Linked DNA regions of Saccharomyces cerevisiae S288C. Each later gene encodes a partner of the first gene's protein in a complex. Each region holds a gene or a part of one and is shown on either strand. Other genes may lie near its edges. The genes, in order: COX9 and COX2. A codon is read from its position in the direction of its gene.

Region 1 (15,616 bases):
TAAAGTTTCGTTTCTTGTTTCAAATGTATTTCCTGTGCTCAAGTCTCCAGTCATTGGTACTCGTACCAACATATTCCTGCTTGTGGTATATAGCAGTTTAGTTAGTTCTTTAGTCGGTATGCGTTCCTTTCCTTTATATCCGTCAGGATTAACTTCAAGGACTTCACACAGTTTTTCTATCTTACTAATATTCTTTTTCGTCACCGTGTTTATAGTTCTGATGGGAATATACCTGCGAATCCCAGATATTCGAGCAACAGTAGTTGCAAACACTTTTGTCCTCAACATGTCGAGATTCATTATCTGATTTATTCTTTTATCCTGCTATAAAGAAACCATAGAAGAATAGAAGCAAAGGGGTAGTACGTGGCACCTCCTAAAGGTAATATTGTACTATTCCTAGTTCACTCAAGGTCTGCCTGTCTTATTCTCCACATACATTTTCTATAACTCTTTTTTTAAGTTTGTTTTTATTTTAGTTTGACACTACATAAATATGTAAAACTATTTTTTCAAATTATACAAATAGAAAATTATGATAAAGGTCAAAAAGAAAGAAAAGAATGACTTGTCTGTTTTCCTTCCCTACAAACTCTTGCAAAAGTAATCAATCGAGGCCAGCACAGAAAAAAAATAAAAGATAAATAAATAGGAATAAGAATATAATGCGAAAAACAATAGTGGTCAGGTTCGGTCAGTTCTCTTGCTTTTTCCTCTCAGCTAGCTCTGCGTAGAACTTCTCTCTCTTGTTAATCTTATCCATGTGGAATCCCCACCACCAGTAAGAGGCCATGACACCCCCGAGGGAGAACCCGAGGACGATGTCCATGATGACTCTTCTCTTGATCGTACCAGTAATTGGAGCAATAGTCATGTCTGTGTAAGTCGCTTGTAGTTAGTAGTTTGCAAATATCTTGCTTGCTCTAATTCTCGGTCCTAATTTTCCCTGAAGATAAGAGTCTCTTTCATCGATTCTTTTAATACCACAGGAACAAAGCGGGCATCGTGGTAGCGGGCCAATCAGGTTGCAGTAAATGAAGAGATATAGAGGAGGACTCTGCTAAAGACCATAACAAGGGTCTGCAATGATCTTGGACTAAATAAAGGTGTCTTACAATCCAAAAGAGCTTGAATCATTCCTTTTATGAGCTAAATAGCACCGTTTGCACCTTCTGATAACGCTTTACGGGTCACGCGCGGATTTTGACTCACATAATTCCACTTGCCCATATAAAGAGGGACTCATATGATCTTATGAAATCTTCCTTCAAGCAATTGTGAGACAACAGACGCACAAGGAAGATCGCCCAGCATGAGTATGTTATCTAGAAGATTATTTTCCACCTCTCGCCTTGCTGCTTTCAGTAAGATTAAGGTCAAACAACCCGTTGTCGAGTTGGACGGTGATGAAATGACCCGTATCATTTGGGATAAGATCAAGAAGAAATTGATTCTACCCTACTTGGACGTAGATTTGAAGTACTACGACTTATCTGTCGAATCTCGTGACGCCACCTCCGACAAGATTACTCAGGATGCTGCTGAGGCGATCAAGAAGTATGGTGTTGGTATCAAATGTGCCACCATCACTCCTGATGAAGCTCGTGTGAAGGAATTCAACCTGCACAAGATGTGGAAATCTCCTAATGGTACCATCAGAAACATTCTCGGCGGTACAGTGTTCAGAGAGCCCATTGTGATTCCTAGAATTCCTAGACTGGTCCCACGTTGGGAAAAACCAATCATTATTGGAAGACACGCCCACGGTGATCAATATAAAGCTACGGACACACTGATCCCAGGCCCAGGATCTTTGGAACTGGTCTACAAGCCATCCGACCCTACGACTGCTCAACCACAAACTTTGAAAGTGTATGACTACAAGGGCAGTGGTGTGGCCATGGCCATGTACAATACTGACGAATCCATCGAAGGGTTTGCTCATTCGTCTTTCAAGCTGGCCATTGACAAAAAGCTAAATCTTTTCTTGTCAACCAAGAACACTATTTTGAAGAAATATGACGGTCGGTTCAAAGACATTTTCCAAGAAGTTTATGAAGCTCAATATAAATCCAAATTCGAACAACTAGGGATCCACTATGAACACCGTTTAATTGATGATATGGTCGCTCAAATGATAAAATCTAAAGGTGGCTTTATCATGGCGCTAAAGAACTATGACGGTGATGTCCAATCTGACATCGTCGCTCAAGGATTTGGCTCCTTAGGTTTGATGACTTCTATCTTAGTTACACCAGACGGTAAAACTTTCGAAAGTGAAGCTGCTCATGGTACCGTGACAAGACATTATAGAAAGTACCAAAAGGGTGAAGAAACTTCTACAAACTCCATTGCATCCATTTTCGCGTGGTCGAGAGGTCTATTGAAGAGAGGTGAATTGGACAATACTCCTGCTTTGTGTAAATTTGCCAATATTTTGGAATCCGCCACTTTGAACACAGTTCAGCAAGACGGTATCATGACGAAGGACTTGGCTTTGGCTTGCGGTAACAACGAAAGATCTGCTTATGTTACCACAGAAGAATTTTTGGATGCCGTTGAAAAAAGACTACAAAAAGAAATCAAGTCGATCGAGTAATCGAATTTACGTAGCCCAATCTACCACTTTTTTTTTTCATTTTTTAAAGTGTTATACTTAGTTATGCTCTAGGATAATGAACTACTTTTTTTTTTTTTTTTTTACTGTTATCATAAATATATATACCTTATTGTTGTTTGCAACCGTCGGTTAATTCCTTATCAAGGTTCCCCAAGTTCGGATCATTACCATCAATTTCCAACATTTTCATGAGTTCTTCTTCTTCATTACCGTGTTTTAGGGGGCTGTTCGCACTTCTAATAGGGCTATCACCAAGCTGTTCTAATTCGTCCAAAAGTTCAGTAACACGATCTTTATGCTTTAGCTCGTCATAATCTTTCAATTCATAAATATTTACAATTTCGTCTACGATATTAAATTGCCTCTTGTAGGTGCCTATCTTTTCCTTATGCTCTTCATTTTCACCGTTTTCTTGAAACCAAACACCGAACTCACTACGCATTTCTTTCATAGGCTCATATAATACTTCTTTTGACGTCATTTGATCAAGTATTTTTGTTATTGCGTCGTCCATCTCCCCATCTTTTAGATCAAATTGATTTTCTGCACTTTCTTTTCCACCAGATGCTACCATTTGATCTAATAATTGTGACAATATATCATCAATATTATTATTTTGGCCACTGCGTTGAGATTCCTTGGTTTCTTCGGCTAGGGATGTATCAACTTTATTACCATTTTCCTTTAACCTGTCTAGCGTATTGGAAACAATGTTTTTAAATCCCGGATTGCTACCATTCACGGTCCCTTTATCAGTGCTGTTACTTTTCAAACTACTACATCCTTGCTCCATCTGTTGATGAGGTACTTTAGCTGCCTCTTCTAGAGCACTAATCAGTTTATTAAAATCTTCTGTCTTCACATTATTCTCGTTACCGTTATTTTTCATCAAATTTGCGAACTCATTTTGCAAATCTACCATCATTTCTTTCAATTCTGGGTCCTCTTCAGATTCATTAGCTACCTGTACGCCATCACTGTCCTTACTTTCGGCATTCTTCTCTTTGTTTTCACTATCGTTGTACACAGAACCCTTCGCTTGCACATCATCGGGCTCTGCTTCATCCAGTTTAGTGGGATCTTCATCTAAAAGGTCATCCAAATCATCAAAATTATCGTACTCGTTTTCATTCATTACTTCGTGTTGTATGTTTGGCATTTCTTCTTTCCGTCAATACTTCGGTTCCCACAATTTGTAATTCTTTCTTCACTTTATATCTCTCAGAAACCGCGTTTAACATCTGGAAATTAAAAATTATTCCTGTCTCCATAACAAACATTTAAAAAAAGAAGAGAAATTTAGCATAGGATAAGCACACACTGGCACCATTTTTTGGAAGCAATATGAGTAGTTTGTGTCTACAGCGTCTTCAGGAAGAAAGGTAAGTAGTAGTTTTCCTCCTTTTATGCTTACATTCTGTAGGCATACACAATTTCATCCAGCGGTATACTAACAAATCGATGAACTTAACTTGTTTTACTTGAATAACAGAAAAAAATGGAGAAAGGATCATCCATTTGGATTTTATGCCAAACCAGTTAAGAAAGCTGATGGGTCCATGGATTTACAGAAATGGGAAGCTGGTATCCCAGGCAAAGAAGGTACAAACTGGGCGGGTGGTGTGTACCCAATTACAGTCGAATATCCAAATGAATATCCTTCAAAACCTCCAAAGGTTAAATTTCCAGCCGGATTTTATCATCCAAACGTGTATCCAAGTGGCACAATATGTTTAAGTATTTTAAATGAAGATCAAGATTGGAGACCCGCCATCACGTTAAAACAAATTGTTCTTGGGGTTCAGGATCTTTTAGACTCTCCAAATCCAAATTCCCCTGCTCAAGAGCCTGCATGGAGATCATTTTCAAGAAATAAGGCGGAATATGACAAGAAAGTTTTGCTTCAAGCTAAACAGTACTCTAAATAGAGGGAATCCATCTTTCCCATTCTTCCTCCTTTTGTACTTTATTTAACTAATGTCGTTGTGTAACAAAAATAGAGCAAAATAACATTATTTACAAATTCTCAAAAATAATTTTTTGCTCTTTGTTTCTTATGCTAAGTAAATAGAAAGATATTTTTTGTACCATTTTCTATAAGTATGGCAACTATATACACTTTAATAAATCTATTGGTTAGTAGAATTTTCATTCATTTTGTAGTGAATGAAACTATCCAACGTAGTAAAGCAATCATGGCATCTTTCTTTTAGTTCGGGATTTTTGTTTTTATCAACCATTTTGAATTGCTGCCTCAAATTTGGTACAACTTGGTCTTTTAGAATAGATAAAAATCCACCCCTTACAAATATTGGTTCATTATAGTCGTAAGAGGCATCCCCGTAAATTTGGAAAAGCGAATTTGTCATTTCTATCAAAATTTCAGGGCGAACATTCAACTGTGTTAAAGTTTGTATGAAGAACTGCCCAATCTCCTTATTTGCATCAATTTGTCCCTGAATCATAGCATATGTGCTTAGTACATTAATACATTTTTGTTGTAACTCAAGGTCATTATTATTTTGGAACTCTTCAATAATTCCCCTAGCGAATCCTGAATTGTTCAGCATTTGGACATTGATCAATGCTCGATTCTCACTTTCAAACGCTCCATCAGGAAAGATGAGTTTCAGAAGCGCCCAAATACAGCCCATTCTTCCTATTTTAATACTCAAATCATCTTGGCTGTCCAACTGTGTAACATAACTCCATAAGGTGGTTAACAACTCTCCAGAGAGCTCTGTTAGAGATAGAGACACAAAGAGCCAGATCAGATTGTTCCATCCGATCAATATTCGCGAGGTGAAGGTATCTTTCAAAATCATGAAAACGTGAGGTAAGAAATTTGTTAAGGTATTGATTAGCTCCTCTGGAATTGCTACTTCCTGTGATTCTGGTGATTCATATTTGGATGCAACTATCTCAATGATTGCGGTGATAAGATCAATTGCTATTTCAATGCTTTGCAATTTTATCATGGATTCGTTACGTTTCGCATTGTAATCCTTGATCTTAGTTATAACCTTACTGCTTTCATCTTTACTAGTAGCAGGTCCAATTTCTACAGGGTTATTAATGTCATTAACTAACTGTACTGGATCAATGTTATTAATGGAATGACATACAGAGTGGATCATTTTGTTACATTGATCATAAGTTATTTTCATGTCAAGGAATTGGCAATGGATACCTTCAATTAGAACTTTTGTTAATTCATTAGCTTGTGGATGTAAAGCCGGAGATAGCCCATTTAAGAACTGTGATAGAAGTTCATTGTTGGAAACATGATCAATAAATTCAAATGATTCGGAACTCAAATCATAAATGAGATCAAGAGTGGTATTGAACAGATTAATTGGCAGTTTCTCGACACCATATTTTAATAGCTGTGAAATGACCTGAAAAATTTCATTTATTTTACTTTCCGTTAATATCTCATTAAGAATATCGTCGGATCCATTAGACAGAGCCACCACTAACGACAGTAAGTTATCGGCAAAATCGAATAACAACCTTTTAGATTCTATTTTGGATTTTCCTGCAGGTTTTAGCTGCGGTTGCTGTTCTGCTGCTTGCAAAGCGGATAACGATTCAACAATCCTGCCAAAATTACTTGTTATACTTGTCCATATATCAGATCTCCAAAGGTAGATTGACACATCATAACCTTCTTCCAAAGACAAGTTCCTTAATAAGCCGAACGACTCCACAACTATGTCCGAATTAGAATCGTTCAGCAATTTATTCAAAATGATAGGAACTAATTTCTCTTTCAGTAAAAGTTGTCTCATATGTGCATCCTCACAAAGAACACTGATGGAACTCAAAGCAATACTTCTATCATTAGGCACCACACTTGACAAATTCTGCAATAGCGGCTGGAGTTTTTTATTAACGACGTTGGTATCTTTATTATTGTCATTTGACCCAGCTTTGCGTAGTGGATTTAATCGAGACGAAGATGCTCTTGATCTTTTCTTTGATCTGCCCATTCTTTTCTGCCCTAAAAAGTCGATTTCTGCGTCCTTGTACAAACTCGAAAATCTGATCGAAAGTACTTGGAATCCAGTAAGAATAATGGGGGCGTTGCTACGAAGATTTAATTTTACAATACATAGACCTTTAAACAATGGTAGATAAATGGATGAGATGAGATGAGATGAGATGAGATGAGATGAAAAATTTTCTGAATAAGAGAACTACTCGTTCTAAATGATTATTGTACATTTTGCATAGAAAAATGGCAATAAACAGGGCAGTACTATTTCATCATCATCACTAAACATTAGTTGGCAAACTTATTAAGCCAACAGTACTTGTGACTAGAATTTTTTATTATATCGCCAATATTTAATGATAAACATAATATAGTAATACCAAAAATAATTATGATAACTTATACAAAAGAAGTGGAAAGAAAAGGAAAGAAGTAATCAAAGTAACTCAAAAAAGGTTAATGATTACGATGTTACAATCGCTCTTGACTTATCTGTACTTGTGGAAACCAATGTCGTTAGCCTTTTCTCTGAAACATTGACGACAGATGTTTAAGTCGTACTTTCTGACCAAACCAGTGTGGGAGGAGCAGACACGACATTGACGGGAACCTTTACCGAATCTTCTTGGGTGGGAGAACCAAACGTTTTCGTGAGCCATTTTGTATATATTCTATAACCAATAAGTTTTCAAAATTGAATAGAAAAATGTTAGTATTATAATTTTTGCAGTTTTTATGTTTTCCAGGAGTTCCATGGACGTGTACAATAGAATTTTTCGACTATCGAAGTTAAAAGGAAATAAATATAAGCTTATGCTATGGCTCATTGTATTTGACATAATTTGAAGCTTTGTTGATGTTTGATGCTTGTTGCTACATTCAATAAACACATCGTCTTATTCCACCATGGGGCCACCAGAAAGGCTCCCCCCTACTGCTAGCCACAGATATTTTCCTCGAATTTTCAATTCTTTTAGTTGTAAATTTTAGTTACAAATCCAAATCAGCGCAGATACTTTCCTGCTGTTCCTTCATTCTGCATACACGTCCCTTGTCTCTTCAATCCGCGTTTCCACATACATTTAGCTATAGTTTCTTTCAAAGAATTTCTCAAACTACTAATCCCAATACCTAATAACCACTTCTTGTACTGACGGTTATACCTTTAAGACTTGACGCTTTCCCAGGCAAAATGTAACATTTTCCACCGCGCTGTTCGTACAACGCGAGAAGATCTTTATAAAGAGTACCCAGATGTTCCCCCCAAGTGAAATAAATAGGCCTACTTAGGACTGGGTGTTAAAATGTACGGATGGAAAAGTAGACTCGATATTCAATTACAGCTAAGAAAAATTTTCAGTTCTGCTCATCTCATCACCAGTAAAAAAATGTGTGAGTTAGAAGTTGATATGAGTTGTGATATTAATCGCAGAAATTTATTTGTTAGTTGAAGAGCGGTAGTTTTACGCAGGCATCAGAATGGCAGGTCATTCACACAGGTCATCATTAAAAAACGGACACAAATCTTACAAATCCAAACATGCTTCTAAAGGTGCTTTGAAAAGATTATACAAGGGGAAAGTGGAAAAAGAACCCGTGGGCACTGGCAAACCAGACAAACAAGTTTCAAAATTGCAACGTAAAAACAAGGCAAAACAATTAAGGGCCCAAAGGATCTTGGATTCCATTGAAAACAGGAAATTATTCGAAGGAAAAAATGGCGCTGCCAAAATCATTACTATTGTTCCGTTAGTGAATGATTTAGACCCATTGGACATTCTTTACAAGCTATTAAAGTGTGCAGATGATGAAGGAATCATGGTGCAGGAAGTAGACTCAAAACGTATATTTAATGTTCATATAAAGAAGTTTAAAAGCAATCTTAAAATCATAATTCCAGACATGACCAATTTTTTGAACATTTTAGATTGCGCTAAAGTAGCAGACTTTGTTGTGTTTGGGCTCAGTGGTGTCCAAGAAGTCGATGAAGAATTTGGTGAGCAGATCATCCGTGCGTTAGAACTACAAGGTATTGCTTCATATATCGGTGTCATAAGCAACCTCTCAGCAGTCCATGAAAAGGAGAAATTCCAATTGGATGTCAAGCAATCCTTAGAAAGTTATTTCAAGCACTTTTTCCCAAGTGAAGAACGTGTTTATAATTTGGAAAAAAACTCAGACGCTTTAAACGTCTTGAGAACATTGTGCCAGAGGCTACCAAGATCAATCAATTGGAGAGACAATAGAGGTTACGTAGTCGCTGACTTTGTTGATTTCGTTGAAACCTCTCCCGATTCTGGTGACCTGGTAATTGAGGGGACCGTCCGTGGTATTGGCTTCAACGCCAATAGACTGGTCCATATTCCTGATTTTGGTGACTTCCAACTGAATAAGATAGAAAAAATCAGTGAATCTTCGCAGAAAAGGAAAATAATAAAGGAAAAAGCTACAGATAGTCTGAGCTTAGAGCTGGATTTACAAACAGTTTTCGAAAGTAATATGAATAGAGATACTTTGGACGAATATGCCCCAGAAGGCACGGAAGATTGGTCAGATTATGACGAGGATTTTGAGTACGACGGTTTGACAACCGCGAGATACGACGACCATGGCTTCTTGCCAGGGAGGGAACAAACATCAAAAAAGGCGGCAGTTCCTAAGGGAACTTCTGACTATCAAGCGAAGTGGTACTTGGATGACGTCATTGACGCAAATGAGGAAGAAGAGGCAGAACAGACCAATGGAAAGGATGAGACAATGATGGAAATTGATGATGAAATGATGGTGGAGCAAGACAATGAAGAGGTAGCAGGCGACGAAGAATATGACATAGAGGATAATGAAGGATTTGAAGAGCTTTCACCCGAAGAAGAAGAACGTCAACTGAGGGAATTTAGAGATATGGAAAAGGAGGACAGAGAGTTCCCCGATGAGATCGAACTAGAGCCCAGTGAATCTGCCATCGAACGTTTGAAAAGGTATAGAGGTTTGAAAAACTTATACAACTGTGATTGGCAAGTTGATGAAAAGGACCCATCATCACCAGCGGAATGGAAACGTCTATTAAGGATTGGCAATTACAAAAACACTAAAAACAGAATCATAAAGGAAACCAAGAATGAAGCACAGGCCATTGCAGGTGATCGTATTAGGATGTTCATCAGGTTTCCTAAGTTTCTGCTTGAAAAGATTCAAGATCCTAAACAACTATTATTTGCTGTCTACGGATTACTACTTCATGAACACAAAAATGCGGTAGTCAACTTCTCTCTACAAAGATGGGAACAATATGACAAACCTGTGCCTTCTCAGGAGCCTATCGTAGTACAATACGGTGTTAGAAGATACACTATTCAACCTCTATTTTCTCAAGGCTCTAACAGTCCTAATAATGTTCACAAGTATGAAAGGTTTCTGCATCCAGATACAGTATCAGTTGCCACATGTATTGCTCCCGTAGATTTCACCCAGTCACCTGCAATTTTTTTCAAGCCATCACCAACAGATGCCAAAAATATTGAATTGATTGGTCACGGTACATTCCTGAATGCAGACCATTCAAGAATATTAGCAAAGAGAGCCATTTTGACCGGTCATCCATTCAGATTCCACAAAACTGTGGTTACTGTACGTTACATGTTTTTCAGACCAGAAGATGTGGAATGGTTCAAGTCTATCCCACTGTTCACCAAATCAGGTAGGTCAGGTTTCATTAAAGAAAGTTTGGGTACGCATGGTTATTTCAAGGCTACATTTGATGGTAAATTATCTGCGCAGGATGTTGTTGCTATGTCCTTGTACAAACGTATGTGGCCCATGCCTTCGTTACCTTGGAATGGTATGTAAAGTGATAAAAATATACACGTATATATATATATATATATATATATAAGTACGTGAGATCTATTTGTATAATATAATGCTAATAAAATAGTATCAACGATACTGTTGATAAAGGTAAGTCGATACCTGTTCCGTTCGCATCAAATACAAATGCCACTTATTTTGTAGAGGTATTAATGCATTATGTGAAAATTATGACTTTTTATCAAGCAAAATAAATTTGCTACTTGTGCCCTTTTTCTTTCTTTTTTTTTTTATTTGATATGCGTGCCTTTAGCATCCTCCAATTTGATAAAAGTCGGCTTGCTATTAGTCGCTGACAATAAGTTGTAATTGGTGTTAGCTTCATTTTTAATTTTTTTTGAGCCATACAAGCCATCGACATAGTAATTATTTGTAATCTTAGTCTCATAATCGAGTATGATTTTTTCAAAGCTCAATAACGCCTTCTTTAACGCATCGCCTACAGCCTCTTTTTTCGACCTGTTATAACATTCACCTCTCGAGGACAAAGTAATTCTACCTAGCCCACCACACTGTGTGTTGGTGCCATCCTTTAAGGTAACCTTTACTTGGGCTTCTGCCACAACTGTATACTTGACCTCACTAGTGTTGGTGTTTTCTCCATTATTTACTGCGGTGAAGGGCTGGCACTCCCGGGCCTCAACATCTATAACATCCATTCGCCAACCATCATACCCGAATGTTTCATTAGCGAACTGAATGAGAGCATGCCCTGGTATCAGCTTAGATAAGTTGTGCTTCCCATATTTATTATTGTGGTAAATATTGTACGTGTACCTTTCGATCTTGGACTGTAGAAGCCCAATCCTCTGCACCGACCAAGCGCTGGCAGGTCTTCCATTCCAATCTTCGATGATTTGGAACTCTTTTATATCCAAGCCCGGTGCTGTGCCGTATGTAGTCGAATCATACGATATGCTCGAACTGGGCTTCGCTTGTATCGTCATTATTTTGTCTGTTTATCCTGAAATATGCTCTTCTCCTCTACGTAACCCTTTAATGGTCCAAAGCATGTGCTAAACTGCCACAGACTCCCTCAATGATGTTCTTATCCTTCCTTGCCGTTACTGCTTCCTATCATATCTGCCCTTGCCAAACTGTGGCTTCCTCTAATCAATTTGCCCCAGTACATTGAAAAGCACGTGACGTGACACCAACTTGAAAGACATTAGTGTCCAACGCGATATAATGGTCAATAAAATACCCAATTTTATCAAGTGAACATGATATTATTCAATACTATAGTACTTTAAAGAAAACTTCAACAAGTTGCTTCATTGCTATATTATACAATTATGGGTGATGCCGGTCGGCTAACCTTTCTTTCGCAGCGCCACATACAAGAACATATGGTAATTACTAAGAACTTTTTGGAAACTATTTCCATGAAGAAAACAAAATTTACTGGCTTCTGTCTTCGAAGTAAATTTAGCGAACTTGATACTTTCGTTTGGACAGTCGTTTAGATTTGCAACTGTCTGTTCTTATTTCTTGCTATTATTACCAGAAATAAAGCCTAAAGCGCGTGGTTCTTACGAAAAAAATAGACCTTGCACATTAACAGGGTTTAGACATCACAGAGACTGAATACTGGAGAGAAGACAATTCTTGTTCACGACTTCGAGTGATTAATATCTATAACAACCCTCCTATCAAGAATGGACATCATTCAAGGACTGATACAGCAACCAAAAATTCAATCTGTGGATGAAACCATTCCGACGTTGTGCGATCGAGTTGAGAACTCCACTTTGATTAGCGATAGGAGATCCGCTGTGCTGGGATTAAAGGCATTTAGCCGGCAGTATAGAGAATCAGTGATTGCATCCGGGCTAAAACCGTTGCTCAATACTTTGAAACGTGATTATATGGATGAAGATTCGGTAAAGGCTATATTAGAAACAATTTTGATTCTTTTCATCAGAGGCGATGGCCATGACGACTTAACTAGAGGTTGGATTTCTCAACAATCGCGGTTGCAGAATGGCAAGTATCCCTCACCATTGGTGATGAAGCAAGAAAAGGAACAAGTAGATCAGTTCTCGTTATGGATTGCTGATGCTTTGACGCAGTCTGAAGATTTAATTCACCTACTTGTTGAATTTTGGGAAATCGATAATTTCCATATTAGATTGTACACAATTCAATTACTAGAGGCAGTGATGGCCACGAGGCCGTTGAAGGCGAGAAGTGCTTTGATTTCACTTCCAACGAGCATATCCACAATGGTCTCACTCCTAGATGACATGCATGAGCCCATCAGGGATGAAGCTATTTTATTATTAATGGCAGTAGTGAACGATTCACCTCACGTTCAAAAATTGGTTGCTTTTGAAAACATTTTTGAAAGGCTCTTTTCCATCATCGAAGAAGAAGGTGGGTTAAGAGGCTCTCTCGTCGTCAATGATTGTTTATCGTTGATCAATAACATCCTGAAGTATAACACTTCTAATCAAACTTTATTCCTTGAGACAGGAAACTTGCCAAAACTGGCACACCTTTTGAGTGAACCAATATCTCAAGATGAAGTTTTTTTTTGGAATGATCAAAGGATAGTTAATATCAATACAGCTTTAGATATCGTCAGCCTAACAGTAGAGCCAGGAAATACTGTCACCACTAAGCATCAAAATGCGTTGCTTGACTCAAGCGTATTAATGGTTGTGTTGCGACTTGCATTCTTTCATAATATCCCAAAAAAAGTTAGACCGGTTGCTCTTTTGACTGCCGCAAACATGGTTAGAAGTAATGAACATGCACAGCTAGAGTTTAGTAAGATCGATGTTCCATATTTCGATCCTTCATTACCTGTAAACTCTACTGCAAACGGTGGTCCAATTAAATTAATTCCTGTAGTCAGCATCTTGATAAATTGGATGCTCTATGCCAACTCCGTTCACACGTTTGATACAAGAGTTGCGTGTTCTAGACTATTAAAGGCTTATTTCATGGATAATTTTGATCTTCAAAGAGATTTTTTACTAAAACAAGTCCAATTGTGTAATAATTCAACAAATAATGTCGGCGACAATGCTAAAGAAAATGGTGGTTCTAACAAATCTGATAAAGAAAGTGATTCAGATAAAGATACCGACGGGAAGGATGGCACTGAATATGAAGGTTCTTTCAAGGCAAATCTATTCGAAGTCCTGTTAAATTATGACGCAGAATTGAATCTGAACCCTTTTAAATTATTCTTCACAACTGATATTTTTATGTTTTTTTTCCAACAGGATCACAAATATAGCGAAGAACTACGTGAAATAACAAGAAATGTTACCACCGGTAACGATCTCGAAGACGAAGAACCCTTAAAGGCAATTCAAACAATAAGTGAATTGCTAACTACTTCCCTTACTGCTGCTGACATAAGAATTCCTATTTCCTACTTAACGTTCCTAATATATTGGCTCTTTGGCGACTTTAAGGCCACGAACGATTTTCTTTCGGATAAATCCGTGATTAAATCCTTGCTTTCCTTCTCTTACCAAATTCAAGATGAAGACGTTACTATCAAATGCCTTGTAACAATGTTACTAGGTGTGGCATACGAGTTTTCCTCGAAAGAATCTCCATTCCCAAGAAAGGAATACTTCGAATTCATCACTAAAACTTTGGGAAAAGACAATTATGCTTCTCGAATCAAACAATTTAAAAAAGATTCATATTTCTCAAAAGTTGATATGAATGAAGACAGTATACTAACTCCGGAGCTTGATGAAACTGGTTTACCAAAAGTTTATTTCAGCACTTACTTCATACAGTTATTTAATGAAAACATATACAGGATCAGAACTGCATTGTCTCACGACCCTGACGAAGAGCCAATCAATAAAATATCTTTCGAAGAAGTCGAAAAATTACAGAGGCAATGTACAAAATTGAAGGGTGAGATAACTTCTTTGCAAACAGAAACGGAAAGCACCCATGAGAACCTCACCGAAAAATTGATTGCGTTGACTAATGAACACAAAGAGTTGGATGAGAAATACCAAATTTTGAATTCCTCACATTCTTCGTTGAAAGAAAACTTTTCCATTTTGGAAACTGAATTGAAGAACGTCAGAGATTCCTTGGATGAAATGACGCAACTGAGAGATGTACTGGAAACTAAGGACAAAGAAAATCAAACTGCTTTACTGGAGTACAAAAGCACAATCCACAAACAAGAAGACTCTATCAAAACTTTAGAAAAAGGACTTGAAACTATTTTGTCTCAAAAGAAAAAGGCAGAAGATGGTATAAACAAAATGGGTAAAGATTTATTCGCTCTGAGTAGAGAGATGCAAGCAGTTGAGGAGAATTGTAAAAATTTACAGAAGGAAAAAGATAAAAGCAATGTCAACCATCAGAAAGAGACTAAATCACTAAAAGAAGATATTGCGGCAAAAATTACTGAAATAAAAGCTATCAATGAAAATCTGGAAGAAATGAAAATTCAATGTAATAATTTATCAAAAGAAAAGGAACATATTTCGAAGGAACTTGTTGAGTACAAATCCCGCTTTCAGAGTCATGACAATCTAGTAGCGAAACTAACAGAAAAATTGAAATCCTTAGCAAATAACTATAAGGATATGCAAGCTGAAAATGAGTCTCTAATAAAAGCTGTAGAAGAGTCAAAAAACGAAAGCAGCATACAATTGTCTAATTTGCAAAATAAAATTGATTCTATGTCACAGGAAAAAGAAAATTTTCAAATAGAAAGAGGCAGTATAGAAAAAAATATCGAACAACTAAAAAAAACCATCTCTGACTTAGAACAAACGAAGGAGGAAATTATCTCAAAATCCGATTCTTCAAAAGATGAATATGAGTCCCAGATTAGTCTCTTGAAAGAAAAATTAGAAACGGCGACAACAGCAAACGATGAAAACGTGAATAAAATCTCAGAATTGACTAAAACTAGGGAAGAGCTGGAAGCCGAGTTAGCAGCTTATAAAAATCTCAAAAATGAACTTGAAACAAAACTAGAAACTTCAGAGAAAGCTTTGAAAGAAGTTAAAGAAAACGAGGAGCATTTAAAAGAAGAGAAAATTCAACTCGAGAAGGAGGCCACTGAAACCAAACAGCAACTCAACAGCCTACGTGCCAATTTAGAATCATTAGAAAAAGAGCATGAAGATTTAGCA
Region 2 (16,504 bases), on another chromosome or scaffold:
TAATAATTATATTTGTAAGAATATTATTATAATAATATAAAATATATATATATAAATTATAATATATTAATTATTGTTAATTATTAATAATATATATATTAATCATTTAGATATATAATTCTATAGCCTTAGACTCCTCATCAGTAGAAGACTACGTATAAAAATAATCAGATAACATCTAAAACATGTAGATAAATAATAGTTGTTTCATATCCAACATGATGTCCAGCTGTTAAATGATAATTTCTCATTCTTCAATAATTAACACCTAACATAGCTGCTAACATTACCATATGTAAGAAATGTAATCCTGTACCAGCATAGAATACTGAACCATAAACACCATCAGAGATAGTGAATGCAGCATTAGTATATTCAATATATTGACAAGTAACAAAAATAACAATTAATCAGAATGTAATTAATAAACCTGATAAGGCTTTATTTCTATTACCTGCGATTAAGGCATGATGACTATAAGTTACAGTAGCACCAGAAGATAATAAGATAATAGTATTTAATAAAGGTAATTCGGTAGGTTGTACAGCTTCAATACCTACGGGTGGTCAACATGCACCTAATAGTACATCAGGACTCATAGCTGAATGGAAATAAGCTCAGAATAAACCAGCAAAGATTAATACTTCAGATAATACAAACATTAAGAAACCTAAATTAATACCTTTTCTTACTGCTATAGTATGATCACCTAAATATGTAGCTTCAGCTACAATATCTCTAAATCATAAAATAGAACTTGTTAATAATACAAATAATGCTAAATATACCATATTCATATTACCAATATAACCATGCATTGTTAATGCTAGTGATAATGCTAATGATAATAATGCAAATGATACTACAATAGGTCATGGTGAAGGCATAACCATATGAAATGGATGTTGTTGATGTCTACTTCTTTCTAAATGTGTCATAAATTTATTGTTATATATATATTATATATATAATATAATTAAATAAATAAATAAAAAAAATATTAATAAAATATTATCCCTTAAACTATATAATAAAATTAAATAATAATATTAATTTAATAAATCTTTTATTTAATAATAATATAAATTATATTAAATATTTATAATAATATATTATTTATAAAATTATAAAATAAATTTATATATAATTCAATATATATATATTAATTTATATATTTAAATTAAATATAATTAAATAAATAATATAATCGAATTAATATCTCTTTCGACCGGATTATTTATTCAATTATTAATAATATAAATAATTAATTTGTATTGAATATAATTTATTTAAATATTTTATTATTATTATTATTATTATTATTAATTTATTAATATTAAAGGAAATATATTTATTATATTATATTATATATATTTTTTATTATTTATATTTATTATTAATATAAATCATTGATAATATCTTCTTTTTATTTATTTATTATTATAATTAAAAAAGAATCTTATATTAATTAATATTATTTATTTTTTTTTTATTTAATAAATAAATATTATTATATTAAGATAGATATAATATTATATCTAGATTTAGGAAATATAGGGTTCGAACCTATAATCTTTCGTGTGTAAAACGAATGCTATACCAATTAAGCTAATCTCCTTTATAAAATATATACTCCACAGATATATATCCAAAACTCTTATTAATTATTATAATTATTATTTTATTTATTTATATATATATAATTATAATAATTCATATAATTATTATAATCTTATAAATATTCCTATTGAAAATTATACTTTATAATTAAATTTATTAATAATTATTTAATTTAATATATAAAATATTTATTTATATATATATTTATATATATATATATATTTTTATAAGTAGTATATTATATTTTATATATAATAATATTTATAATATATATATTATAAATTATATATAATATATTATATATTTATTTAATAATTTTTATATAATTAATATATTATATATTTAATAAATTTTATATAATTAATAAGGTAAATATAATTTAATGGTAAAATGTATGTTTTTAGGTGCATATTATCTAAGTTCAAATCTTAGTATTTACAAAATAAAAAATTAATATAAATTTATTATAATCATTTATAAATTTATTATAATATTATTATTATATTTATTTATTATTAATAATTATTTATTATTTATTATATAATATTTTTATAATTATATATTAAATATATATAAATTTTATTATAATAAAACTCCTTCTTAAATAGGGGTTCGGTTCCCATGGGGTCCCTCACTCCTTACGGGGTTCCCGCAAAGCGGGAACTAATAATAATATATATTTTTATATATATATTAATATATATATATATTTATAACTCCTTTATTGATATTTATTCTTATTTAGAATATTTTTAATTAAATAATATAATTAAATGAATACCAAACTTATATTATATTTATATTTATATTTATATTTCTCCTACCGGGGTTCCGGCTCCCGTGGCCGGGCCCCGGAACTAAATATATAAACTTTTTTTTATAATATTATATTTATTAAAATATTAATAAATAAATAAATAAGAGATATAATATATATTTTCTTTGTATTAAATATATTATATATATATATATTAATTATTATAATATATTTATTATAAATTAATTATTAATTAATATATTATTATTATTGCCCTTAATGAGAATCGAACTACATGTAAATAAATCTTCAATTTATCGCTTTACCACTAAGCTATAAAAGCTATATATAATATAATACTTATTATTACTTATAATATAATATATATATATATTTATATAATAATACATAATATATATATATATATAAATAAAACATAATATATAATATATATTTTTATATTATTAATTAATTAATTTATTACTTATCTTATTATATATATATATAAACCTTTTATAATATATTAATATATATAAAACTTTAATATTATTAATTATTATATTTATATTTATATTTATATATATAATAAATATATATATATATTTATATAAATTATATAATAAATAATAATTATATTTTATTTATAATTAAAAATAATAATTATATAATATATTACTCCTTCGGGGTCCGCCCCGCGGGGGCGGGCCGGACTATATTATATATAAAATAATAAAAAGTCTATTTATAATACTAATATAATATTATATTAATATTATTTATTAAAAAGTAATTATAATAATATTATTATTTATTTAATTTATTTATTTATTTATTTATTTATTTATTATTATTATTAAATAATATATTATATTTATATTAATTATTTAAGATATAATATTAAGTTCTGGGGGACGGCCCCCCGTATCCGTATCCGTATCCGTATTCGTATCCGTATCCGTATCCGTATGGGGGATCGGAACCCCAAAGAGGAGTGAATACCTATTACATTATATTTATTTTATATTATATTATATTTATTTTATATTATATTATATTATAAATATAAATTATAAAAGGAGTAAATATAATTCTTATAATTTAATTATATTATAATTTTATTTTATTTTATTAATATTTCTCCTTTCGGGGTTCCGGCTCCCGTGGCCGGGCCCCGGAACTATTAATATAAAAATATATAATATTTATAAAAAAATTATACATTAATTATTCTTATTATTATTATTTATTTAATTATTATAATAATTATAAAAAGAATATTTTTATTAAATTATTAAATTTATAATATATTTAATTATATTATAATATATAAATATAATTTTATAAAATAATAAGCTAAATATTAAATATATATTTAATATTAATATCAATATAATATTAATATCAATATAATAATTTAAGATATATTATTTAAAGATTTAATTATAAATATAATAACTCCTCTCGGGGGTTCCGGGTCCCGTAGCCGGGACCCGAAACTTAATTAATATATATTTTATAAATTAATCATTATTTATTTTAAATAAAATATTAATATTTTTATAAATATAAATTCTATAATAATAAATAATAAATATATATATATATAATAATAAAGAATAAAAGAATATTATTAAAAGTTATGGCTATAGCCATGAAGAATTAATTAATTATAAAAATAATTAAAAGAAAATAATTTTATATATTTATAATAAAAGAATAATTTATATATAATTTATATAAATATAAAAAAGTCTCCTTTTTTAATTTTAAGAAGAAGTAAAAATAATAATTAATCTAATAAAATATTTTTTAAAATATATTTATTTATAAATACATTACCATTTTTAATATATTTAGCAATTTCATGTTTAGTCCCGGCCCCAGTCGGGACCCCGAAAAGGAGAACAATTAAAGTAAAGAGCTGCTGGTCTATAACCAGTAAATGTTATAATTAATGTATTATTTAAATCATAAACAAATACTCCAACATTAATAAATTTAGTATTATTATTATTTATAGAATTTAAACGTTGAATATCACTATTTATACGATATGGTAATTTATAATTATAGATAAGATTTATATTTAATACATCATCAATAATATTTTTAGTTCCGGGGCCCGGCCACGGGAGCCGGAACCCCGAAAGGAGAAATATTATAATTAGAATAATATCTTTTTTTATTAATATTATTATTAATTAATTTTAATAAATTAGAACCTTTAAGTGTATTATGTAAACCTTTTATATAGATTTCTATAAGTGTTTTTCATAATTGGAAATCAATTTCTTTACGACTATATCATTTTAATGAATATAATTTAGGTAAAATAACATAATATAAAAAATCTATTCTATTAAATTCTAATTTAATAACTCCATTTTTATCAGGTTTAGTTAATTTAATAGATGAATCTCAATCTTTTAATAATTTATTTTTAATTAATAATGGTGTATTATCAATTGGTTTTCAATTATTTAATACATAAGATTTAATAGCTTTTAATGTATTAATACTACGTTTATGTTGTGAAACATTAAAACCACAAATATTACGTTTTGGAGATAGATCAAATGAACCTTCAGCTTCAATAAAACCTAAAATTCAATAATCATTTATTTTATCATATGGAATTTTTAAATTAGGTATAACTTCATAATTATTAATTGTATTTTTAATATTTAATAAATCTTTATTATTATAAGATATACCATTTAAATTATTAATTATAGCTATTTTTCATTTATAATAACTATAATATTTAATTGTTAAACAAGGATACTTATCAAAAATAGTTACAATATTAGAATATAACCATTTCTTTTGTGAATTTACTAATATAATTGTTTTAAGTAGTTCTTCAAAATTAGAAGGTATATTTAATATATTTCTAATCTTTTCTAAACATGCTTTATCATCAATATGTATTCTAAAACCATAAAAAAATCTTAAATATTTTTTATCATTTAATTTAATATAAAAACTACCATCTCCATCTGTAAATCCTACTAATCATTTATAAAAATTATCTATTTCTAAATTATTCTTATTATTATTTTTATTATCTTTTTGAACAATAATTAATTTATTATTTAAAGAAGTATGATAACCTCTTTTAATAATATTTATATTTTTAATATAAGGTGATTGAATAGAATATAAATCTATATCTTTATTATATTTAAGAATATTATTATAATTATTATTATTATTATTATTTTTAATAATTAAAAATATTAATAATAAGTAAATATTAATTATTGTTCATTTAATCATTCCAAAAATTTAGGTAATGATACTGCTTCGATCTTAATTGGCATATTTGCATGACCTGTCCCACACAACTCAGAACATGCTCCATAGAAGACACCTTCTCTTTGAATTAAAGCAGAAACTTGATTTAATCTACCAGGAGTAGCATCAACTTTAATACCTAAACTTGGAATAGCAAAATCATGAATAACATCAGCAGCTGTTACAACGAATCTAATATGTGTATCTACAGGTACAACTATAGAAGTATCAGTATCTAATAATCTTAATTGACCTTCTTCTAATAATTCATCAGGAATAACATATGATTCAAATTCAACAGTTTCACCACTATCATTAATAAAATCTGAATATTCATATTTTCAATATCATTGATATCCAATAGCTTTAATAGTTATAGCTGGTGAAATAACTTCATCACATAAATATAATAAAATAAATGAAGGAAAAGCAATAATTAATAAAATTACAGCTGGAAAAATTGTTCAAATAACTTCAATAGTTTGTCCATGTTTAATATATTTATATGCAATAGGATTTTTTGAATATGTTATAACAATTGTATATAACATTCAAGATACTAAACCTAAAATAACTAATAAATAAAACATAATATTATCATGTAATTCTAAAATACCTTCTTGATTTGGTGTTGCTGAATCCTGAAAATAACATGCATAAGGTGTTGGTACATCATTCATAATGAATGTTGTTAATTGTAATCTTAATAAATCTAACATTTTAATAAATCTTAACCTTTAGACTCTTTTGTCTATTTATAATATGTTAATACTACTTTTAATTAAAATTTATTTATAATTTATTATTATATATTATAAATTAAAATAAAAAATATTATATTATATTATCAACCCCACCTTTTTTTATTAAAAATAATTAAAATTATATATTATTTTTATAAATAATATATATAATATTATTAATCATATAAATATATATTTTATTAAAAAAAAAAAAATACTAAAACTCCTTCGGTCCTCCTCCCGTTAGGGAGGGGTCCCTCACTCCTTACGGGATTCCCGCTTCCCAAAAACTAATAATATTCATATCATATATATTAATATTTATTAAAATATATAATATTTAGATTATATATAATATATATAATTTTTATTATTATAATATATTAGTGATTACCTTATTTATAAAGGTATGAAGCAAGGAGTTATTATTTATTATTATTATTATTATTATTATTATTAATATAATATATATATAATATATTATTAATTTTTATTTATACTCCTTCGGGGTCCCCGCCGGGGCGGGGACTTATATTTATATTATTAATATAATATATATTTAAAAATAAAATAGTCCGCCCCGCGGAGGGGGGCGGGACCCCGAAGGAGTCCGCCCCCCTTTTTATTTTATTTTATTTAATTTTAAAGAAGAAGAATTATTTATATTTATTTATTTATTTATCTCCTTCGGGGTTCCGGCTCCCGTGGCCGGCCCCCGGAACTGTAATAATATATTAATTTAATTAATATTTTTTATAGATAAATATACATTATATGTTTTTATTAATTAATTATTTATTTATTTATTTATAATATATATTTAAATATTATATTATATATATATATTTAAAAGATAAATTATATTTATAATTATTTAATGAACATCTATTTAATAATAATAAAATAGTCCGGCCCGCCCCCGCGGGGCGGACCCCGAAGGAGTCCGGCCGAAGGAGATGTGAATCCTGCTAGGAGGAGTAATTATTTATTAATATTATTTTAATATATATAAATATTATAATCATTATTACTTGTAGAAGGAATTGAACCTTACATTATTTATTTATGAGACAAATGTTTTAACCAATTAAACTATACAAGCTCCTTAATTATAATTATTATTATAATTAATACAATATTTACTCTTTATTATCAATATTTATACCTTATTTTATAAATATAAATAAAAGATATTAATTATTAAAATATTAATAAATATATTCTTTAATAATTTATAATTATAATATAATAATTATAATAATAATAATTTTTAATAAAAAATAAAATAATTATAAAATTATAATCTTATTATATAAAATATATAATATATTTATAATTATTAATAAAAAAGATAATTATATAATTAAAATTAATATATATATATATATATATATAAAGGTATTATTAATTAATTAAAAATATTAATATATTTGTTAATTAAATAAATAAATAAATATAAATATTATCTAATTATAAATTTATTCTTAGTAATTAATATATATATAATATTATATAATATAATATATATAATATAGGTGTTAGTTTAATAATATTCTTTATTATATATAAATATAAATAAGATATCTTATACTATATATTATAATAAATTATAAATAATTAAACATAATAAATATAATTTATATATACATATTTATTTTTTATTAATTTATAACATATTAATAAAAATAATAAATATATAATTTCTTTAGAATACTTTTTATTCTCCTTCCGGAATTAATAAAATAAAATAATATAATATAATATAAAATATAGATACTTATTTAATTTATTAATTAATATATATATAAATATATTATTATATATAATATAAATAAATATATAATATAATATAATATTAATAATTATTATTATATACCTTTTTATAAATAATTTAAATATTTATAAAAATATTTTAATAATATTTATAATATAAAATTTATCATTTTATAAAAATTATATATATATATATAATATATAAAATAGTTTCTTCTTACATAAAATATAATAAAAATTATAAAATATATTAAATTATTAATAATTATATATTTAATGAATAATCTTAAATTAATAAATATCAATAAATATATCAATAAATATAATATAATATAATATAATAAAATTATTTATTATTATTTATTTATTATTATTATTAATACATACTTTTTATATTATTTTCTTTAATATATATATATATATGATATATAAATTAAAATATATATATATTATTATCGTCCTTAATAGGAATTGAACCCATCTATTCTCATTAACAGTGAGATGCTTTAACCGATAAGCTATAAGGACATATTATATAAAAGAATAAATATATATTAATTAAATAAATAAAAACCCTTATTTTATATATTTTATTAGTTCCGGAAGGAGAATAAATAAATAAATATATAAATATATAGAAATATAACTCTATAATTAAATTTATTAAATACAGATAATAATTATTTTATTATTAATTTTATTAATAGTTCCGGGGCCCGGCCACGGGAGCCGGAACCCCGAAAGGAGAAATATACATTTTAGAATTATTTATATATTTTTTTTATAAAAGTATATATATATATTATAAAGATAATATAAATTATTATTTATTTATTAATTAATTAATTATAATTATAATTATAATTATTATTATTTATTTATTTATTTATATATATAAATATATTAATATAATTATTATATAATTTTTTTTTTTATAAAGTATATATATATATAATTTTATATATTAAATTATGTATTAAATTAATTATTCATTGGATTATATTAATTTCAATGGATTTGATTTATAATAATATATAATTAATAATAAATTATGAAGGGAATAGGAATTGAACCTATGAAGACCTAAGTCATTGAGTTTACAGCTCAACTCCAACTACCAACATTGAAAATCCCTCCTTATATATTAATATATATATATATTATTATCTTAATATAATATATATATATTTATATAATTATTATAATATATTTACTCTATTTAAGATTTATATCTATATATATATAATATAAATATAAGTTCAATTTATCTTATCTAAAAGAGATATTTATTAATAATAATTTATGATTTATAAATTAATAATAAGATTTAAATATTATTTATAAGTATATATTATTATATTATAAATTATTTATATTATTATTTAATTATAATATTTTTAATAAAATAGTCCGCTCCCCTCCCGCAGGGGAGGGGGCGGACCCCGAAGGAGTGCGGGACCCCATGGGAACCGCATCCCTTTTTATTCTTAATTAAGAAGGAGTAATAAATTTATTTATAAATATAAAATTAATAATTAATATTTATTAAATATAATTAATAATAAAACTCCTTATGGGGTTCCCGCTTCGCGGGAACTATATATATTTATTATAAATTAAATAATTATTTATTTATATATATATATATATATAATTATATTTATATTTATTATTATTATTATTATAATATATATATTTATATTTTATATATTAATGATATATAATATGAAACTAACAGGGATTGAACCTATATTTGTACCTTATCAAAATACTATTCTAACCAATTGAATTATAGTTTCTATTTCATTAATTATTATATTTAATTAATTTATATAATAATATTAAAATTTATTATAATTTATATATTTATTAATTATTTATTAATATAATATTTATTAATTTATTAAAATATTTATATTATATTATAAATATCTCCTTCGATTAGATAATTTATATTATTTATTAATATAATATTTATTTAATATTTATATATATATATATATATATAATTTATTAATATATATATTATATAATATAATTATTGGAGTTAATGAGACTTGAACTCATATTAAATGCATGCAACGCAGTCGTTCTACCAAATTTAACTATAACCCCATTATATTTATATTTATATTATTTATAAAAAAAATAAAAATATAAATTATTATTTCTTTATATAATATATAATATTATTATAATATTATTCTTATGTAATTTATTTATATTAATTAAATTAAACTATATTATTACTTATAATAAAATATATATTAATGAAAGATTAAAAATAATATCAAAGTAAATAAATATTATTTTATAAATTTATAATAAGTTTTTAATATATTATTATCTTATTATAAAAAATTAATAATTAATTAATTAACCCTATATTAAAATATAAAATTATATACTTTTTATATAATAAATAATAAATAATTAATAATTAATATATAAATAATTATAATATTTTATATTATTCTCCTTTCGGGGTTCCGGCTCCCGTGGCCGGGCCCCGGAACTATTAAATATTTTTATTTAATAATAAATAAATAAATAAATTAATTAATAATATTTATTAATATATAATATTATATAATATAATATAATATCTTATAGGATTTGAACCTATATAATTAGATTCGTATTCTAATATTTTACCATTAAATTAAAGATATATACGGAAAATATGAGATTCGAACTCATAAGAATTTACAATTCAATTACTTAGCAAATAATCCACTTTACCTATAGTTAATTTTCCTTTATTAAAAAAAATATAATAATAAATAAATTAATAAATTAATAAATAAATTAATAAATTAATAAATTAATAAATTATAATAAATTATAATTATTTTTTATATTATTTTCCTTTCGGGGTTCCGGCTCCCGTGGCCGGGCCCCGGAACTATTAATAAGTAATAAATAAATAAATAAAAAGAAGAAATATATTAATGAAATTATATAATAATTAATAAATTATAAAATTATGATTTTTTACTATTAAATATAAAATAAAAATAAAAATATTAATAATAATAATATAATATAATATAATATAATATAATATGATCTAATATAATATAATATAATCTAATTAATTAATAAGATTATAAATATTTATAATAATATATATTATATTTATATATATATATAATATATATATATTTTATATATTATATATAAGATTATTAAAAAATAATAGTAATAAATATATTGTAAGAAATAATAAATTTATATAAAAATTAATTATTATTAATAAATATAAAAATAAGTCCCCGCCCCGGCGGGGACCCCGAAGGAGTGAGGGACCCCTCCCTATACTATACTAATGGGAGGGGGACCGAACCCCGAAGGAGTATTATATTAAAATATTTATTTTATTTTATTTATTTATTATAAAATATTAATTAATATTAATAATATATTAAATATATAATGAAAGATTAAATAAATAATTTATATAAAATATTAATATAAATTAATAATAATAACAAAATAATTTATTATTAATAAATATAATAATAAAAAAGATTATTATTTATTTTTTTTATATTAAGTATAAATATACGAATCTAATCAGATTTGCACTGACATCCTCCATTATGACAAAATGGTACTTTACTATTAAGCTACAGATCCTTTATTTTATTATTATTATTATTATTACTCCATTGGAATAAAACTCTTTATTAAAATTTATACCTACTACTATTATTATAATTATTATTATAAAATTTAATATATTAATAATATATATATATTTATTTATATTATTATTATATTATTTATTAAATATATAATATTATATATACTTTTTTTATTATAAAATAATATTTATAATTTATATAAAAAGAAATATATTAATTATATTATATATACTTTTTTATCAATAAAAAATTATTATAGTCCGCCCCGCCCCCGCGGGGCGGACCCCAAAGGAGGAGTAATAAAAAATATATTAAAATATATTATAGTTCCGGGGCCCGGCCACGGGAGCCGGAACCCCACAAGGAGATTATTATAAATTATTATTATCATTATTTATTTATAAAGAATAATTATTAAAATATTTTTATTTTTTTTTTATATAAATATTTATATATATATATATATTTATAATATTGTATTTAATTAAAATATAATATATTTTGTTATAATATATTTATAAGAATTATATTTATTTATTAAAATAATAATAAATAAGTATATTAAAGAATTATTATAATAAATTATTATTAATATTAAATATTATAAATATGATTATTTTATTATATAAAATATTATTATTAAATAAAATTAAATATTATTATTATTATATTTTTATATAATAATAATATAATATTATAATATAATATAATATAAGTTTTAATATAATTTTGTATTTAATTAATTATAGGATATTAATTTATATTAATATTAATTATAGATAGCGAGAATCGAACTCGCATTCAATGTTTGGAAGACATCCAGTTTACCAATTAACTTATATCTATTATTATTATTTCATTTATTATTAAATAGTAAATTAAACTTCTTAATTTAATTAAAAATGGGGGGGGGATTATTAATATAATATAATTACTCTCTCCATGATTTGAACATGGAATATTAATATTAGAAGTATTATGCTTTAACCATTAAGCTAAGAGAGCTATTTTTATTAATATTTATTAATAATTATAATATATTAATATTATTAATAAAAATAATTATTATTATTTATTATTATTATTATTATTATTATTATAATATATATATATATAATTATATTATTATTATATATAATTATTATTATTTTTAGAAAGGGAAATATATATATATAATATTATGAGAATAGCTGGAGTTGAACCAAGCATGGGTTGCTTAAAAGACAACTGTTTTACCATTAAACAATATTCTCTATTGTTTATACATAATATATATTACTCCTTTGGGGTCCGCCCCACGGGGCGGGCCGGACTATTATTAATATATATATATATATATATTTATATAAAAATTAATTAAAATATTTTATATATATAAATTAATTAATTAATTAATAACATAACAAAAGGATTAAATCCACCCTCACTATCCATAATTAATACTACTCCTTTCGGGGTTCCGGCTCCCGTGGCCGGGCCCCGGAACTTAAAATATTAAATATTAAATATTAAATATAAAATATTAAATATAATATATTAATTAATTGATACTTATTCCTTTATTTATTATTTATAAATCATAAATTATTATTAATTAATAATTTAATTAATAAGTCCCCAAAGGAGTATTAACATTTTATAATTAAAATATAAATATTAACTTCTTTATATTTAATATATATATATATTATATCTTATAAAAAACTTATATCCTTTTTTTAATATTTATATATTATAATTAAATTAAATAAAATAAAATAAAATGAAAGTATTTATTTTTTTAATAAGATTATTAATTATTCTTTTTTCAATTAATAAGAATTATATATAAATAAATATATAATATAATATAATATAATAAAACTTTTATATATATACTATATATATATATATTATTATTATGATTATTATTATTATTAATAAGAGTTAATAATTCAATAATTTTTATATTATCATATATTATTAATTAATTAATATAAAAATAGGAGTATAATTATATATTTATATATAAATAATATATATATTATAATATTGAATCGGTTTGATTCGAACAAACAAACTCCAAACTCAAATTTTGGTAACTTACCTATTAGTCTACGACTCATTTATATATATTATATATATTATATATATTTATTGCTATTTAAAGGACTTGAACCTTCATACTGTAAAGTAATACATCTTAAGAGTATCGTGTCTACCAATTCCACCAAAATAGCTATTAATTAGATAGTTATTAAAAAAAATAATATATATATTATATTTATTAAATATAAAATAATTATTAATATTATAAAATATAAATAAATATATTATAATATAATAAATAATAATAATATTAATATAATTATTATAATTAATGCCAGACCGAACTCCTTCGGGGTCCGCCCCCCCCCGCGGGGCGGGCCGGACTATAAAAACTATTTTAAAATTATATTTTATTAAAAATAAATTAAAAGAATTTATTATTATCCTTACTCTTTTTATATTAATAATAAAACTCCTTTCGGGGTTCCGACTCCCGTGGCCGGGCCCCGAAACTATTAATAAATAAAAATTATTAAATTATAATTTAAGTCGAACTCCTTCGGGGTCCGCCCCGCAGGGGGCGGGCCGGACTATTTATTAATAATAAATTATAAATTAGTATTAATAATATATTTAATCTTTAATATATATATAAATATAAATAAAAAATTAATTATTAATATTTATAATATTTTTATTTTATTTAATTAAAAAGGATATATTAATAATTTATAAAGGAAATATAATTTATATTAAGTATAAACTTCATAATAAAATTAAATATATAATTTATTTTATTAAAATTATTATTATTATTAATTTTATTATTTATAATATTTTTATTTTATAATTATAAATATATATAAATTACATAAAATATTTTATTATATTATTACTTATATAACATTATTATAATATATACATATACAAATTTATATAATATTTACATAATATATTTATATTTATTATTTTTATATTAATATATATAATATATATTTATCATTAAATTATTATTTTTAATAATCTTTTTATAATTATTTTTATATATTGAATAAATAAATAAATAAATAAATAAATAATGAAAAATTTATAATAATAAAAAGGAATTGTTTTATATATTTATAAAATATTCATTAAATAAATTATAAATCTATTGATTAAATATTATATTATAATAATAAATAGTCCGGCCCGCCCCGCGGGGCGGACCCCGAAGGAGTCCGGCCGAAGGAGTCCGATCGAAAGAGATAAAGAAATATTATTCATTTTATTTTATTTTATTCTTTTTTTATTAATATTTAAAATTAAATCTTATATATAATAATAAATATTTAATAATTAATAATAAATATTATTATTATTATAATTAATTAATTAATTAATTAATAAGTTATAATAGAATTTAATATTCAATAAAAAGAATCAATTAATTAGAATTTTAATAAAGAAGTAAATATTTTATTTATTATTTAATTTCAATTAATTATATTTGGTATATATATATATCAATTAATTATAATATTTTGTTATTAAAAAGTAATAATATTAATATTATATATATAATATAAAGAATAAAAAATTTAAGAATAATAAAATATATTATTATTATTATTTATAGGGTGAATACTGAGAATCGAACTCAGATTTAACGCACCACAAGCGTATTTTCTACCATTGAAATATATTCACCTTTATTATATAATTATTATAAATATATATATATTTATCTCCTTCCGGGGTTCCGGCTCCCGTGGCCGGGCCCCGGAACTATAATATTTTATTATTATATTATTTATTTAAGAGATGAAGAGAATCGAACTCTTAATAAGTAGATTTGCAATCTAATAGTTTAACCTTAAAACAACATCTCCTTTATTACTTTATATACTTATAATTATTTATATCTTTATTCTATATATTATTATATATATTTTATTAAATAATTTATAATAAATAAAATAAACTCTTTAATATTTTTTATTTAAATAAATATTTATATAATATAAATATGAAATAATGATAATAAATATTAAGATTATTAAATTATTAATATATAAATTAGATTTATTTAAAATTATTAAAATATTATTTATATTTATCTTCTTGATAATATATTAAATAATATATTATTATTATTATTATTATATAATATATATATATTTATATCTTATTAGTTTGTTGGACCTCATAAAGAGTAATATTTAAACATAATATTATAATAAGAAGATTATTTATTAAATTATTGATTATAAAATGTTTTATTATAATTATTATTTATATATATATTTTTTATATAAATTAATAAATTTTTTATAAATATTATATTTATTTTAATATTTTATTATTATTATTGTTATATTAGGGATTTGAACCCCAAACCTTTCGATTACAAAACGAATGCTCTACCAATTAAGCTAATATAACTATTATTTATAATATATTTATTATATAATAATAAATATATTATTATTATTTAAATAATTAATTATTTATAATTATACTTTATAATATTTATTCTATTATAAATATTAATAATTTTAGAATATTTTTATATATAAATAAATAATAAAAATTAAATAATTATTAATAATATATATAAATTAACGAAGGAGTGAGGGACCCCCCCCCCGTATACTATA

What was found.
Region 2: the proteins of COX9 (region 1) and COX2 are in contact, whole or in part, in a cryo-EM structure (PDB 7Z10), measured with the Saccharomyces cerevisiae proteins. Residues at the interface, in NP_010216.1 of Saccharomyces cerevisiae: Ile10 (codon at 847), Arg13 (codon at 838), Asp17 (codon at 826), Ile18 (codon at 823), Leu20 (codon at 817), Gly21 (codon at 814), Phe22 (codon at 811), Leu24 (codon at 805), Gly25 (codon at 802), Gly26 (codon at 799), Met28 (codon at 793), Ala29 (codon at 790), Ser30 (codon at 787), Trp32 (codon at 781), Trp33 (codon at 778), Phe36 (codon at 769), His37 (codon at 766), Lys40 (codon at 757), Arg44 (codon at 745), Phe47 (codon at 736), Tyr48 (codon at 733), Leu51 (codon at 724); in NP_009326.1 of Saccharomyces cerevisiae: Cys23 (codon at 6,327), Tyr24 (codon at 6,324), Ser28 (codon at 6,312), Ala29 (codon at 6,309), Thr30 (codon at 6,306), Glu34 (codon at 6,294), Leu37 (codon at 6,285), Glu38 (codon at 6,282), Asp41 (codon at 6,273), Asn42 (codon at 6,270), Met44 (codon at 6,264), Phe45 (codon at 6,261), Leu48 (codon at 6,252), Val49 (codon at 6,249), Gly52 (codon at 6,240), Leu53 (codon at 6,237), Trp56, Met57 (codon at 6,225), Thr60 (codon at 6,216), Tyr65 (codon at 6,201), Phe88 (codon at 6,132), Gln212 (codon at 5,760), Arg213 (codon at 5,757).

What each region holds. Positions count from the first base shown.
Region 1 is NC_001136.10:333,523-349,138, forward strand, and holds COX9 (cytochrome c oxidase subunit VIIa), read right to left. Parts: upstream 875-15,616; coding exon 695-874; downstream 1-694. Other genes in the region: CBS1 (Cbs1p), read right to left, coding at 1-288; isocitrate dehydrogenase (NADP(+)) IDP1, read left to right, coding at 1,313-2,599; PEX19 (Pex19p), read right to left, coding at 2,727-3,755; E2 SUMO-conjugating protein UBC9, read left to right, coding at 3,965-4,002, 4,113-4,548; SYO1 (Syo1p), read right to left, coding at 4,750-6,612; 40S ribosomal protein uS14 RPS29B, read right to left, coding at 7,106-7,276; small subunit rRNA maturation protein TSR1, read left to right, coding at 8,097-10,463; RAD59 (Rad59p), read right to left, coding at 10,715-11,431; USO1 (Uso1p), read left to right, coding at 12,143-15,616. UniProt on the Saccharomyces cerevisiae protein: Component of the cytochrome c oxidase, the last enzyme in the mitochondrial electron transport chain which drives oxidative phosphorylation.
Region 2 is NC_001224.1:63,647-80,150, reverse strand, and holds COX2 (cytochrome c oxidase subunit 2), read right to left. Parts: upstream 6,394-16,504; coding exon 5,638-6,393; downstream 1-5,637. Other genes in the region: COX3 (cytochrome c oxidase subunit 3), read right to left, coding at 129-938; Q0255 (maturase-like protein), read right to left, coding at 4,167-4,247, 4,279-4,488, 4,529-5,656. UniProt on the Saccharomyces cerevisiae protein: Component of the cytochrome c oxidase, the last enzyme in the mitochondrial electron transport chain which drives oxidative phosphorylation.